Linked DNA regions of Daphnia pulex. The protein of the gene in region 1 interacts with the protein of each later gene in a biochemical or structural test. Links are inferred from orthologs where the notes say so. Each region holds a gene or a part of one and is shown on either strand. Other genes may lie near its edges. The genes, in order: coatomer subunit beta-like and coatomer subunit delta-like.

What was found.
Region 2: the proteins of coatomer subunit beta-like (region 1) and coatomer subunit delta-like form a complex in vitro, tested with the Homo sapiens proteins (2 studies listed by BioGRID). The link is inferred for Daphnia pulex from reciprocal best matches to the Homo sapiens genes COPB1 and ARCN1.

What each region holds. Positions count from the first base shown.
Region 1 is NC_060020.1:2,117,104-2,124,534, reverse strand, and holds coatomer subunit beta-like, read left to right. Parts: upstream 1-3,097; 5' UTR 3,098-3,249; intron 3,250-3,404; coding exon 3,405-3,785; intron 3,786-3,849; coding exon 3,850-4,110; intron 4,111-4,173; coding exon 4,174-4,366; intron 4,367-4,436; coding exon 4,437-4,555; intron 4,556-4,613; coding exon 4,614-4,742; intron 4,743-4,806; coding exon 4,807-5,069; intron 5,070-5,141; coding exon 5,142-5,453; intron 5,454-5,516; coding exon 5,517-5,739; intron 5,740-5,799; coding exon 5,800-6,312; intron 6,313-6,388; coding exon 6,389-6,630; intron 6,631-6,693; coding exon 6,694-6,952; 3' UTR 6,953-7,169; downstream 7,170-7,431. Other genes in the region: uncharacterized protein LOC124192347, read right to left, coding at 1-71, 136-406, 470-964, 1,036-1,240, 1,300-1,524, 1,784-1,850; START domain-containing protein 10-like, read right to left, coding at 7,282-7,365. UniProt on the Homo sapiens protein: The coatomer is a cytosolic protein complex that binds to dilysine motifs and reversibly associates with Golgi non-clathrin-coated vesicles, which further mediate biosynthetic protein transport from the ER, via the Golgi up to the trans Golgi network.
Region 2 is NC_060022.1:6,326,767-6,334,416, forward strand, and holds coatomer subunit delta-like, read left to right. Parts: upstream 1-3,392; 5' UTR 3,393-3,527; coding exon 3,528-3,530; intron 3,531-3,980; coding exon 3,981-4,020; intron 4,021-4,089; coding exon 4,090-4,325; intron 4,326-4,381; coding exon 4,382-4,561; intron 4,562-4,623; coding exon 4,624-4,808; intron 4,809-4,876; coding exon 4,877-5,059; intron 5,060-5,122; coding exon 5,123-5,252; intron 5,253-5,317; coding exon 5,318-5,501; intron 5,502-5,561; coding exon 5,562-5,673; intron 5,674-5,733; coding exon 5,734-5,938; intron 5,939-6,000; coding exon 6,001-6,090; 3' UTR 6,091-6,648; downstream 6,649-7,650. Other genes in the region: uncharacterized protein LOC124195439, read right to left, coding at 99-272, 331-405, 463-690, 753-848, 912-1,175, 1,690-1,692; porphobilinogen deaminase-like, read right to left, coding at 6,842-7,048, 7,116-7,278, 7,340-7,558, 7,621-7,650. UniProt on the Homo sapiens protein: Component of the coatomer, a cytosolic protein complex that binds to dilysine motifs and reversibly associates with Golgi non-clathrin-coated vesicles, which further mediate biosynthetic protein transport from the ER, via the Golgi up to the trans Golgi network.

The DNA.
Region 1 (7,431 bases):
GTGACTAATGCTTCGTCAGGTCGAATTTTCGTAGGCTTAAATCGCACTCCTACCAGTTTCCCTCCAACTTCCTAAAAAATATACACAATTATTTTAATTACAAAATTCATTTGAATCGAACAAGTTGTTGCTGACCGTCATTCGAAGTCTAGCGGAAAGCGGAGGCAACGATACGCGAGATTGTGGAGGGAATCCTGGTTTTGCATCCATAAAAAAATGGAGTGGGCCGATTATTAATGTAGCATCGACATTGTGTGTGGTAGAATTTTCTCTCACTCCAATCAAAACATCGCCCTCCCTTTTAATCTGATCAATGCCTTCCACAGTAGCACTTGGTCTGCGTGAATTGCGTCGAGATGAACCTCGTTTACCCTCCAGTTTCTTGACCGGGCGGCCAGTGTCATCTCTGTAAACGAAACAGCAAATTAAAATGAAAGCTGTAATTTCATTGCTTTAAGTTAGGTATTACTGAAATTTTTCTGATGAAATATCCTCATTGAATTCCAGTTTTCTTTGCTTAATATCGTTTTCATTGAGCAGCTGAAGATTGTACTCGATAGTGCCGTCGTCGAGCACAACAGGAGATGGCTTTTGGGTCCGATAAAACTGGGTTGCATTAGTCTTCTGTGGTTGTTTAAAATTAAGGGAAATTTCTGTGGCTGTTTCATAATCATCGTCGTCGTCATTCTCTTCTTCAGTTGCTATGATCTCTTTTTCTTCCGAAACAGTGGAAGACTCTTCAGCAATACTTTCGGTTGCGATTTCGATTGCCGCTTCCCCTTCCACATTCGTCTCATCATCATCGACGTCTTCATCACTTTCGGTTGCATCGCTTTCAACTGCTTCCGTTCCGGGATCCCCAGCGGCTCTTTCTGTACGAATTTTCCTTTCCACTTCGGTTGTTTGCGTTTCATTTATTGCAAGGAAAGCCCAAGGAGATATTTTCATGTCCTCGCGAAAGTTGCTAATGACGAGAACAATACAATGTAATGAGTAAATGTATAGAAAGTTTTTAGAAAATTATAATAAACTCACTTCAATTTTAGTGAAAACGTTGATGAATTTTCGTTGGCTAAATTTAGAGACAAACTCTCGAGCATTTCATCCAGAGCTTTGTTCAATTGATCTGTACTAGACGAACGAGCCAAGTATTGAATTGGTTTAAAAATGGGTCGTTTATTCTTTCCGTATCCTTTCTTGTCATTCTGTGGGCGGCGTTTGCGTCCATTGGGTTTTTTACCTAGTGATTCAGAAATATGTACAATATCACTAAATAAAATTGGGACTTTTAAAAATTACCTTTCTTCCTCAGTTGATTAATACGATTCTGACGTCGCTTATTATTTCGACGTTTCTTTTTCCTGCTTTGCCTTCTCTCAACACTTGTAGCTGATGAAATTTCTTCGACATTGACGTCGACTGATTCTACTTGAAGATCCGGAAGTAACAATTTCGTTTCATTCTTTGCATTGATCACGGATGTTTCGATTGTTAGGCTGCCCTCCAAACTTGCGTCTTTTTTCTCTGTATTAGAAAAATGAAATGAAATTTGTTTGTTGCTTGATGAACAAACTTAAGTTAAATTTACAGTTAAAAACTCAACCAAAGTGTTTTTTAACTGAAATTATTTTCAGTTAACGCCCTTTGATGGTAAGGGGCAAGGCACTTGGAAGCGATAGCAATACAATAACAGTTATCAGAAAACTTAGCGTGAGAGTTTCCGAGTAAGGTTATTTGAAGGGTAAAATTACGACATTAACGGACTTTTCAGTGAATTCCTTACCTTCACTGAAATGTGACAAAACAGGCGATACAAACAAAAAAACTAAAAATAGAAGGAACAATCGCATGATGAACTCTCAACAGCGAATGACGACACCCCAATTAAAAATGAACTCGAAAATCAGAAAGTCTTGTATACTGGCCGATGACTTGGAGCCGTCTGTTCACTAACAGCAGTTGTCTTTCTTTATAGCTAGCTGTAACATCATGCTCTGTGGTGCCTGTGAGGAAAAAATCAAATGTCTTTCCGATTGCCGGTGGCGTCAAAAGAAGAAGACCCTAGTTTCCCTCTTACGGGAAAGCGTGATGTTTATCTATCGTGAGGATGGCCTCATTCTACCCACACGCTTTTTTTAAATATAAGATAATTTCTTTTACGTTGAAAATATAACATGTTTGCATTATAAAACGTTTTTTAAAAATTTAAAGATATTTTACTTGAATACTTGAACTTTTTTTAGATGGAAGGCCTACCAACACAAAAAAAACAAATTTTAAGGAAAGATCATCGTAGACGCAACAATGATAGTCGCGGAAATTTCCATGATTCCTTTTGCTCAATGCCTCAGTTAGTTTAAAACGATGAAAATAAATAATAAATGAAAAGTATCCTGAACAAACATAATTACATTTGATGCTAATAACATAAAACATAAATATTTAATATCGATTAGCTATAGGCTACAGTGAGCCGAGCGAACCAACGAAGTAACGACCATATTAAACGTATTAAAGCTGGTAACTACGAAATAGAGATATAACGGCCAGTACCTTCGGATGCTAATCGTTTCCAATTCTAATTTTCTGTGATTAATGGCAAGACGATTAATATGCAATCTGCATATTGTGAAGCAGTGAAGGTATGGAGATTGTGGCCATCTGCACATTCTATTTCGAACGAACATTTCTATTATCAAATAACTAAGAACAAATTGTATCGTCTCTTAAAGGCTTTGCCGATTAAATGGACGAAAAATTCTAACTAACTCCCATCAAAATACCTTTACACATTGAAAACAAACTGACCATTGCCGAAGATGGAGACGTGACTGGTGCTGGTCTTCAAACCTGCTTCAAACGTGTCGAAGAAGTTCACAGTGGTTCAGAGAAACATGGGTGACGATGACTAGGCAGTTGACACATTGTTTATCCGGGAAACCCACAAAAACTCTTGTTTTGATGGTACAGAGAGAGAGTATGCCTGGAAAATCTGGAAACCAACACAAGCTGGGACTGAATATCTATTTTGAATAAAAATAACAAAAAAACAACGTCAAAATTAAAACTCATAATGGCAACATGGCTGCGTGGTTGTCAATTTTACGAATTAAGATCTGTCGCTTACCGACTGACGTGGGTATTTTCTGACATTCTGCAACGTCAAAGGTTTCGTGAATTTCCTTCGTTTCATATAGTTACGGCTCACACAGAAAACACAACAAGCCGTTGTAATACAAAGAAATCAAGGCAAGTCATCCGACATTTTGGAATCGTTATTCAGTGTTCAACAAATACCATCGTTATAGATTTCGAATGGGTTGCGGGTCGCTGTCACAATAACATTTCATCGAGCGTAAACCGGTCCAAGTTTTCACGATTCATGTATTGTTTTGTTTTTACAGATGTCTGTGACTGAGCAACCTTGTTATACCCTCATCAGTACTCCAGATTCTGACTATCCACCTCCAGATCAGCTGCGAAAAGAGTTGGAAATTGGAGATATCAAAGCCAAGATTGATGCTTTAAAAAAGGCCATTTACATAATTTTAAATGGAGAAAAGATTCCAGGAATCCTCATGGCAGTGGTCAAATTTGTGCTGCCACTTCAGGATCATAATGTCAAGAAACTTCTGTTGATATTCTGGGAAATCATTCCAAAGACTTCAGCAGATGGAAAACTCTTGCATGAAATGATTCTCGTCTGTGATGCTTACAGGAGAGATTTGCAACATCCAAATGAATTTATTAGAGGATCAACATTACGTTTTCTTTGCAAGCTTAAGGTAAGCCAATTTCTTTTATACCTTAATTTATTGATAAGCTAATCTTTTGTAATTTACTTTTTAGGAACCTGAAATCTTAGAACCGTTGATGCCATCGATCAGGTCGTGTTTGGAGCACCGACATTCTTACGTTCGACGCAATGCTGTTTTGGCAATTTACACAATTTACCGCAATTTTGATTTCCTCATTCCTGACGGGCCAGAATTGATTGCCAATTTTCTAGAACGTGAACAGGACATGTCCTGTAAACGTAATGCATTCATGATGTTGATTCACGCTGACCAAGAAAGGGCGCTCTCCTATCTTACCTCTTGCATCGATCAAGTAATAGAACTATTTTAAGGTTTCCAATTTCCAAACAAACTTAAGGAAAACAAAATCTGTTAGGTTCACTCCTTCGGTGATATTCTGCAATTGGTCATCGTTGAACTTATCTACAAAGTGTGTCACGCCAATCCTAGTGAGCGATCGCGTTTCATTCGTTGTATCTACAGTCTCTTGAATGCCACCAGTCCGGCCGTTCGCTACGAAGCTGCTGGCACTCTAGTAACCTTATCGTCCGCACCGTCGGCTATTAAAGGTATTATTCATATTCACTAATATTTAATTTGGGTTTCCAACTTAATATGTTTTCTCTTCTTCTTGAACAGCTGCTGCTAGTTGCTACATCGAAATTATCTTAAAGGAAAGCGACAATAATGTGAAGTTGATTGTGCTGGATCGTTTGATCGCCTTGAAAGAGCAGCCGAATCAAGAACGTGTCTTGCAGGTATCTTGAATTTAATCATTCACATGTTACAAAATATTAATTATGTAATTCATTTCAGGAATTGGTGATGGACATCTTGCGGGTATTGGCTACTCCAGATTTGGAAGTACGAAAGAAGACACTATCCCTTATACTTGATTTAGTGTCTTCGCGAAACATAGAAGATATCGTGCTCGTTTTGAAAAAGGTAAGAATTCCGGTGAAATGGTAAATCGATAGGAATAATTTTCTATTGATGAATTATCTTGTAGGAGGTAACAAAGACGCACAACACAACCGAGCATGAAGATACGGGAAAGTATCGGCAACTTTTGGTGCGCACTCTTCACTCGTGTTGCATCAAGTTTCCTGACATTTCTGCGACCGTCATCCCTGTACTGACTGAATTCCTTTCCGACACCAACGAGCTAGCAGCCGCCGATGTTTTGGTCTTTGTTCGCGAAGCGATTCAGAAGTTCGAAGGACTTCGTCCATTAATCATCGAAAAACTTTTAGAAGCCTTTCTTTCCATCAAGTAAGTTTAAATAACTCCATTTCGTTTTTACTGGCAGCAATTCTACATTAGATGTTTTTTTTTTTTTCAAAGATCCGTCAAGGTGCACCGTGCAGCAATTTGGATCTTGGGCGAATACGCCACTTCGGCTGATGACATTCGTTCAGTTATGTCCAAAGTGCGACAATCGCTTGGCGAAATTCCAATCGTGGATGACGAAATCCGAAAAGCAGCAGGAGAGCAGACCGATCCGGAAAATCCTTTAGCACAGGGAACTGGGAGCGTTACTAATCCTGTTGCTTCTAGCGCCCGCTTGGTAACTGCAGATGGTACATACGCTACGCAGTCTATCTTCAGTGCTGCCGTAACAACCGCCAAAAAAGAAGAAAGGCCTCCTCTTCGAAAGTATGTCAATTCTGTTGATGTCGTTCCATTTAGCATTGCATTCATAATTAAATTTCTTTGTAGATATCTGATGGAAGGCGATTTCTTCATTGGTGCATCAATGGCTACAACTATGACAAAGCTGGCCTTACGTTTTGTTCAACAAGTGTCGAACCCGCAAACGCAAAACCAGTTTTGTGCCGAAGCCATGCTAGTGATTGCAGCGATTCTTCATTTGGGTCGTTCGGGACTGCCTCAGAAACCAATTAGCAATGACGATGCTGAAAGATTGGGGCTTTGCCTTAAGGTAAGTTATCAATGGTAAAAAATGAGTGAACCCCCATTACAATTTTCTTTTTCGACATAGGTGCTCTCGGATCGATCACCGATTTTAGTAGAAGTATTTACCGATGCCTGCCGTAGATCCATTTCACTTATGTTAGCTGCCAAAGCTGAGGAAGAAGCTGCTGCCCAAAAGAACTTAGAAAAGAACAGCCGATCAATCCAAGCCGACGACTTGGTCTCTTTCAAGCAACTGCTTTCACGCAATGAACTTGGTGGCCTCGAAGACGTATTTGAATCAAGTTTGTCGCAAGCTTTGGTAGGATCCGCTCAGCGAACTGGATTAGATCTGAGCGTCTCAAAACTGAACAAGGTGACGCAGTTGACTGGTTTCTCTGATCCTGTATACGCCGAAGCGTACGTAAACGTGAACCAATACGACATCGTACTTGATGTTTTGATTGTCAATCAAACGGCTGACACCCTTCAAAACTGCACGTTGGAATTGGCAACTCTCGGTGATCTGAAACTGGTAGAAAAGCCTTCGGCTATCATTTTGGCTCCGCACGATTTCGCCAACATTAAGGCCAGCGTTAAGGTATGCTCTTTTTAATTATTACTAAATGAATTATTACTAATTGTTTTTCATGCCTGTATTTATCCATTAATTAAAGGTGGCATCGACGGAGAATGGTATTATCTTTGGAAATATAGTCTATGATGTTACTGGCTCGACATCGGACCGTAACGTCGTGGTACTGAATGACATTCACATTGATATCATGGACTATATCATGCCTGCCAGCTGCACTGATGCTGAATTCCGACAGATGTGGGCTGATTTCGAATGGGAGAACAAAGTCACCGTCAATACTAATATCAACGATCTAAATCTTTATTTGCAACATCTGCTCAAGTAAGTGGGATCATTTCTTTTGTCCTTCTAAATTTCCTAGTATAAATTAATTTCTTTGTGTAGATCGACAAATATGAAGTGTCTGACTCCAGAGAAGGCACTAGCTGGTGATTGTGGATTCATGGCAGCCAACTTGTATGCTCGTTCAGTCTTTGGAGAAGATGCGTTAGCTAATCTCAGTTTAGAGAAACCATTCGGTAAACCCGACGCACCAGTTACAGGACACATTCGAATTCGTGCCAAGAGTCAAGGAATGGCTCTCAGTCTCGGCGACAAAATTAACACGATTCAAAAGGCTTCTGTAAAGTCTCCTGTGGCTTAAAATGTAATTGTAGAATTTTCCTCTACAATTATTTCCATACTTTTTTCATTCATTTTCTATGATTCAAAACTTTTCCCAAATTCAAATGTCTATTTGTTGCAAGTATTTTCCCCTCATCTACATTCTTTTAGAAATATTTGGAATGCAGTTGTTACTTGATTAGTTTTGCATCATCAATATAACTGTGGGCTGTTATATTAAAATGTAGTTCACAATTGCTGCTCTTTGCATATAAAATTAATCAATGCATGCAAATACGGAACTTTGAGATAGGACCAAAATTAAATTAAAACTAGCATACTTGTGCGCGATATTGGGAAATGCTTAACTTAAATTGACGCCATTTCTTTGCTGTCTCGATTGTTCCCTTTGTCGTTCAACATAATCTTGTTAGCACCATTTACAGTGGTGTTCTACATATTTTAAAATCACGAAAGTTAAACAGGCGTTAAATAGGACAAAGCATTTAAATTTCACAT
Region 2 (7,650 bases), on another chromosome or scaffold:
ACAAAGACTTTAAGGAAGTAGATGGGTGCACGATCGTAGGGGATTCTAAATGAATTGTGCTGGGGCAAGTCATCTCGCAGAGAAGAAAGCACATCTACCTGACTGCCGCTATCGCCTCCGCTGCTATCCGCGCACACATCTGACTGACCATCCGTACCCGCGCTGTTCTCCCGAGATGCTGAGGAACAAGGCGGAGTCAACGGCATTGAGGTAATGCTAGCATAAGAAGCATAGTGCGATGCTTGATGGCCGGCTGGGATCGGACTTCCGGTCTGTACAAACAATGTCAATACCACTCGATTGTAATAATTTAATCTGATCAACAATTACCTGGACATATGGCTGGAATCCAGGAGAGACGAAATAATGACCGCTAGAGGACGACGAGTATTGATGGCATTGCGCCTAGAAGTAAATGAATTAAGTTAATGTAAATCCATTACACCAATTAGTTAAAAATACCATGGCGTATTGATGAGGCAGACGGCAAATGACAGCAGTCTGGTACATTGCATTGTTGCTGGCATCAACCTGCATGTGATCGACTGACTGGTTTTGGTCGGTAGGCGATACTACTCCCGTATTAGTAGTGTACATGGTGTTAACATTCGGTACTGGCACAGAAGTGGCATAAAACGGATTATGGGCGAGCCGGTTTGGAGTCTGATAATAGCTATTCGAATTAGCCGGCTATACAAAAGTCGGTAAATAAAGTTGATAAGAATTGTTAAAAAGTATTTGCAAATGTTTACCAGTGGATTGTGATTGTTACTGTTAGCCCGTTTGACTGCTGGAGCAACGTTAAGCTTGCGATCTCCCCACATTACAGAATCATTTTGCACTGACGCCTATAAAATGTACACACTCTTGCATAACATAACAATAAATCAAGATAATGACATAGCAATTACTTGTATGGCTCTCCTGGCATCTGCTTCACTGAAGAAAGTGACGAATCCATAAGATTTGTTGCGGGCGTGTTCTGGTATGATTTTGACATCTCGTATCTTACCGAAGCGATTAAATAGCATAATAAGGTCACGCTCGACCAAATTTGGAGGGATGTTGCCCACAAAAACTCTATTTGAAATCAGCCGCCCAGGTGTGTTGGGCGTCGCTGATGCGGATGACTCATGCTGTCGGGTGATTCCACTGTGGGTTGCAACTTTTTCCAACTGTCGATAGAAAAATAAACCAAAATTTACTCTAATATAAGAAAACCGAGCACGTGGTCGTACAAAATTGGGATGTCAATTGAACGACCTTGAGTCGACAGTTTCCTGTAAAGAGAAGGGGAAAGGAAAACACGCGCCGGTTAGAAGATGTCCACTCCCCCCTCCCCATTGCAGACCAAGAAACATAAAATATTAAAGCAAGGCCACATCACTGTAATTTACTTATCTCCCTCTTCCCAAGCAAAACATTCCACATTTCAACAACTTGAGTCGAAACTTGCAAGAAAAAAAAAACACGTACAGCCATCAGTTTGACATTAGTTGACTTAAGTTAAACTCTGATCACACTTTACGTCATCAAGTTAAAATGGAGGCCATAGTGAACTGTAACGGAAAAAAGAGTTGACCTGATGACAGGCAATCGACTTAATTACATATTCTAACGAAGAATTTAGCCCGATTCTTAACACGAATCACATCGAAGAAATACTCAAATGAAAAAGTAGAAACTTACCATGATTCAAGTTGACCGGATAAATGATCAGAGCTCAGTCACGTGTGTATGGCCGGCGCGTGCGAGAAAGATTTAACGAGTCGTTGCACCACCACCTTCAAAGTCTCAGAATCAACTGTTCAGAAAAAAAGCAGAGAGGTCGATCCTTTTCGAGCCGATATCCCATCCACCGATTTCCCCAGGTCTTTTCCTCTCCATTCCTCTTTTCCGTTGGGCCAATCATGGGCGACCAGCAATTTTGAAAAACACTGCGGTCTCTTATGGCAACTCTGTGGGGCTTTGATTTCATTCAAAATTAATTAAGTTAAGCTATTTATAATTCGGAAATTCAAATACATGTTAACTGTAGTCGCGAGATGTTGCGCTTTGAATCGTTAATTACAAGGAATCTGCATTGCATTAATTCATTTTGATTTTTACAATAGTATTCGTTTCCATTTATTTTAAATGCATTCTTCTGGTATCGGAATGGATCAAAATGAACTCGTTCTACTGCTCCTATATCGTGATTTGGAGGGGATAATAAAATACTTTTTCTTTCTCCGAGATGTAGAAGTGTCTAGAGAAAAAAAAATCTGAGTTGCGTAGCTCCTCCTCCTCCAGGGGGAGGAGAAGTCTCTACCACACTCCGTTAGGACGAATGTGACGTGATCTGGTGATCATAATGACACTCGATTGCGTGATCGCAAATCTTAACTGTCGCCTGTCGGACACTCGATGGGTTGAATAAATGAATACAAATAAATCTAATTCATTTCTGTTAACCAGATAAGAATTTTCAATACAATCAGTAGTTTTTATATCCTCTAATTGTATTTAATGTAAAACAGGTACCTTATAATTATTAATTAATGCCCAATCTTTCAGAAATTTAAACAAGAAAATCTGAATCATTTTATTTATTTCATGTCGCTTCTAAGCTATAAGAAACAAAATTTATTGAAAAAAAACGTGACACGATACAACAAAAAAGTTCTAGTCGATTTCGGAGACTCATTTTCGTTGCAAAAGCACTTTCTGTTTCTGTTATTTAGCTCTTGTGGGCATTTTACCAAAATCGCCAAATATAGAATAATGGTTGAAATGGGTTGGCCTGCACATACAGCGAATAAATCCTCTCACTATTTTCCCATTATCATGTTAAGATCCTTTCACAATAGTTCACCGTAGTTTTCGTCATGGGTTCAGCAATCAGGTAATCATAAAGTAAACAATGACAGCCTCAGACTTATACGGAGAAAGTGGTTGCATGCTACAAATTCGACAGATAGACGCAAATTCGTTAACCAACTAAATTCGTTAACCAACTAAATTCGTTTTCGTTAACTTGAACATTTTATTCGGATTATTTTTCGAGTAGCATTAAACAGAAAATACATTAAAAAAAATCCTTTTTGTGTGGACTGGAGTTGAGTAAAAAGGAGTAGTTATGAGATCATTTTCGAGACTTGCCTTGACTAGTTGTTTTGAGTCGTTTTGCCGAATTTCTGATGTCACATGCGAATATGCGATCTTGCCGAACTCAATCGAACATTTTACCCATCATAATGTTGTTTCCTTTGTTTTACTTTGAAAGCAATAACTCAGTGAAACACGCAGAAAATTATGATGCATTCGAATACCAAAATATTTACCGCCAGACATCAATCAGCCATTGCCAGAAACGGGCCCTTGCTTCAGTTTTATTTATTTTTCAATTTGAAAATGGCAACCCTGGAAAAACAGTTGACGATCCACGTCATCTTGTGCCGTCAGTTCTTAGGATCTTGAATCCTCCCTGAAAAGTTGTGGTAAAAGGGGTCCGATAAAGTCTTTAGGAGCCTTTAATCTGCGCAATAATGGTATGATCAACGAACCTAAGTGTTTTTAATTTTATGAAAATATTTACTATGGGCGTTGTTGAAGTTGTCATTGGGGTTGCACAACCGGCCCATCTGACATTTGGCTAAACTTTCGTCTACGTGGATATTTTATTATGATTTCTTCAATAGTGCTTTACATCATCAAAATAACTTAAAACATTTCAATCATATAACTATGATTAACTTTGATTGTTAGGACATGCATTCTAGTATACCAGACTACTTCGGAAAGCTAGCAATACATTTTGATTTCTGAAAGATTGTGTGCTGTATCTTTAGCAACAGTAGCCTAGAAAACATGGGCTTTTAATATCGTTGAAGCAATACCAAGTTGCCAATGTTATTTCGCAACAAAAAATATGTTTGTTGTCATTTCTGTGATTTTGTTCCACTTGTGACACTTGTTCATTAATTTTCATTATTATTCAGGTTCTCATTGCAGCTGCTGTTTGCACCAAGGGTGGAAAAGGTGTGTTGCAAAGTTTTACAAAAATGATGCATAAAATAATAGAAATGACTTTTTTTTTCTCAATTACAGCCTTGGTGTCAAGACAGTTTGTGGAGATGACCAAATCCAGAATAGAAGGTCTCTTAGCTGCCTTTCCTAAACTAATGTCTTCAGGAAAAGCTGCTCAACAACAACACACTTTTGTTGAAACAGAATCGGTTAGATATGTTTATCAACCTTTAGACAAAGTGTATGTATTACTTATCACAACGAGGGCATCCAATATCTTGGAGGATTTAGAAACTTTACGTCTTTTCGCTCGTGTGGTAATAATTTATAAGATCTTCTCATTAGTAGGTTTGCTAACATTAAATTCATGTAGGTACCTGAATATTGCCGCACTTTTGAAGAATCCGAAATCCGGGAAAATGCCTTCAATTTGATATTTGCCTTTGACGAAATCGTTGCTCTTGGCTATCGCGAAAACGTTAATTTGGCTCAAATTCGAACATTTGTCGAAATGGATTCACACGAAGAGAAAGTCTACCAGGCTGTTAGACAGGTTTGGATTTTCTCATTTAAGTAGTTGTTTGGTCTTATTTCACTATTTTTTTCCCCATAAAGACACAAGAACGAGATGCCAAGATGAAAATGCGAGAGAAAGCCAAAGAATTGCAGAGACAGCGAGTTGAATCTAATAAAAGGGGCATCAAGTCTCCCATTTCATCTTCTGGAGGTTACGGGCCATCTCCCATGGCTGCTTCGATTCCGACTGAGCCTCCTAAGCCAACTTATCAACCAGCTGTTGTGTAAGTGAATTCGCTAATTATTTTTCCGCTCAACTAGTTCTTAACTGACAGCGTGGTACTTTTCTTAGAAAACCTAATGGCCCGAGCAAAGCCCTCAAGCTTGGGGGCCGTCTGAAGGACGCCGAAATATTTGTTGACCAACTAAAATCAGAAGGCGAGAATGTAAACTCGTTCCAGTCCCCCGCTTCCGTAGTCCAAGGTGGTTCTGTGAGCTCAAACAAACTGCCGCCATCAACCATCGCTACCGAACCGTAATTTACAATACCTCAATGCTTATTAAAATTTAACGCTTGACTGTAATTTCTTTTATCCAGAGTCCAACTTCGAATAGAAGAAAAGCTTAGCCTCAGTTGTGGACGTGACGGTGGATTACACAACATGGAAATTCATGGCTTACTAACACTTTTTATTACTGATGAGACTTACGGTCGAGTCCGCGTACAGGTAAAATGATTTCCTTTGCATTGTGTTTATTTTCTTTTTTCAAAATTCGACTGATTTATCCATAGGTGGAGAACAGAGATAGTCGCGGAATTCAAATTCAAACTCATCCTAACGTTGACAAGGAACTATTTCGCACTAAGCAGCACATTGCATTGAAGAATGCCACAAAACCGTTCCCATTGAATACGGATGTTGGTGTACTTAAGTGGCGTTTCCAAACACAAGACGAAAATATGATTCCACTGAACAGTAATTCATCATCTTAATTACGTTGTCTGGCAAAATTTAATGATTTAAAAAAAATTATAGTTAATTGCTGGCCAGCTGAAAACGGACGTGGAGGCTGTGACGTTAATATTGAATTCGAACTTCAAGATGATCGATTAGAGCTGAACGACGTTGTCATTGTCATTCCGTTGCCGTAAGACTTTTTTCTATTAGGCTCTAGGTGCAACTCATCATCTTTCGTTTATTCGTGTAGTCATGGTTGCGGAGCACCGAATGTTTCCGAGTGTGAAGGAGAGTATCAGTATGAACCAAGGAAAAATCAGCTTTCGTGGCAACTCCCCGTTGTGGACTCTTCCAATAAAAGTGGAGCTATGGAGTTTTCATGTCAGGGCCATGCGAATGACTTCTTCCCAATCAATGTCAACTTCTATTCGAAGCGCTCCTATGCTGAAATATCGGTACGGTTGCAATCTGTGTTTATTTATTCCATTTGTCTACAATTTTCCCATTTTCGTTGTAGGTAAATGATGTCGTACTAGTAGATGACGGCACATCGGTGAAGTATGCGGCCGATTCCAATTTTTTTACGGAGAAGTACGAAATCCTTTGAATGTTTTGCTTCTGAAATCCGTGGAAGTAGCAAAGTGTTCGTGATTTTGCCAGTTGCCCCTCACCCCCTGTCGTTAGCGTCAACACAAACAAACTGATGAACTCCTTGACTGTCAACTGGAGGAGAGGGGTGAGGAATGAGAAAGACTTTAGGTTACCATCTGTGGTTAATATTTAATGCCAACGTGCAGTTCGTTTTTCCCGTCTCTGAATCGATTCAACCTCCTCAAATTCACCCTTTTTTCTCCCACCTTTCATAACAAAGCAATTTAAAGCGCTGAAGTTTGTTGAGCCGCCCAGTAAATATGATATATTGAAATCTAAAAGTTTTTTCTTCCTTTTTTTCTACGTGCATATATCTTTGAATCAGCAGCGGCACTCATGTTTGGGCGTGTTTTCTTTTCTCTTTTCTTTCATCTCTTTTTCTTTCTCCGTTTGTTTATGTTTTCGATCAGTTAAGAGTTCAGAAAACTCTTATCATGTGTTGTCGTTGGAACAGTGTACACTGCTGGGGTTGCATGGCATACAGTATATCAATTAAAAGCTGTATTATTTCCAAGTCTTCTGGATTTCTCATACCTTGTTATCTTGCTTGCTTTTTTATCTATGAAATATTAGCCTAGCTTAAAGAAGAAGAAGGAAAGAAACAGCATTGAAAATTAACAAACCACATCTGTATTCAAAGCTTTACCCACAATTTTACTTCCTTTTACTATGTACGTTTGACTAAGAGAAGATAAAAATCCGCGCATCTATTTGGATGGGCGTACATTAGCAGCTACCAAATTGCGATTTTCAGTCTCTTTTTTCGCTTCGTCAAGTATAACTCCTCCTCCCAATGAGACGATTTTTCCGGCCAAGGATACGCCCAACCATTCCGCCAGGGCCAAGCGAGAATTGCCAACACTAGAACTTACAACAGCAGTGTATGATGCAGCTGGTGGAACATCTTCGATATCCTAAATTAATTATGTGATAAGTTATAATGATGCATGTTAATTTTTAATGAAGTTAGAGTAAACATACAACTAGCTCCACTTCCAATGACTGGGTGACGTTTTGTTTCCCATCCAAACTCCATACACCACCCTTAAGGTAGAGCATATCTCCAACTAGACGAGATTCCACAGCCACCGGTGCTGAGCAGCCTCCTTCCAGTGTTCGAAGGAATGCACGTTCAGCAACGCAACTGCAATAGTTGTATAAAATATGATGTGATGTAATATAACGATGAATAGAATTTTACTTACACTAGTAGCGTGTTAGCGTGGCTAAATGGTGCTAAAAGTTGACGAGTAGCAATATCATCTTGGCGGCACTCGATCCCGAGTGCACCTTGGCCAATGGCGTACATGCTCACGTCCGTATCAAGATATTCTGAAATACGCGATTCCCAGTTCATTCGCTTGACTCCAGCTGTCGCTAAAATGAGTGCAGCATACGTTCCTTCGTCGTCTAATTTGCGTAGTCTATCACAGAAACTCGCGATTAATGACGAAAGATTTTATCTATCGGCGAAATTATATTATACCTTGTGTTTAAATTTCCCCTTACGTCTTGG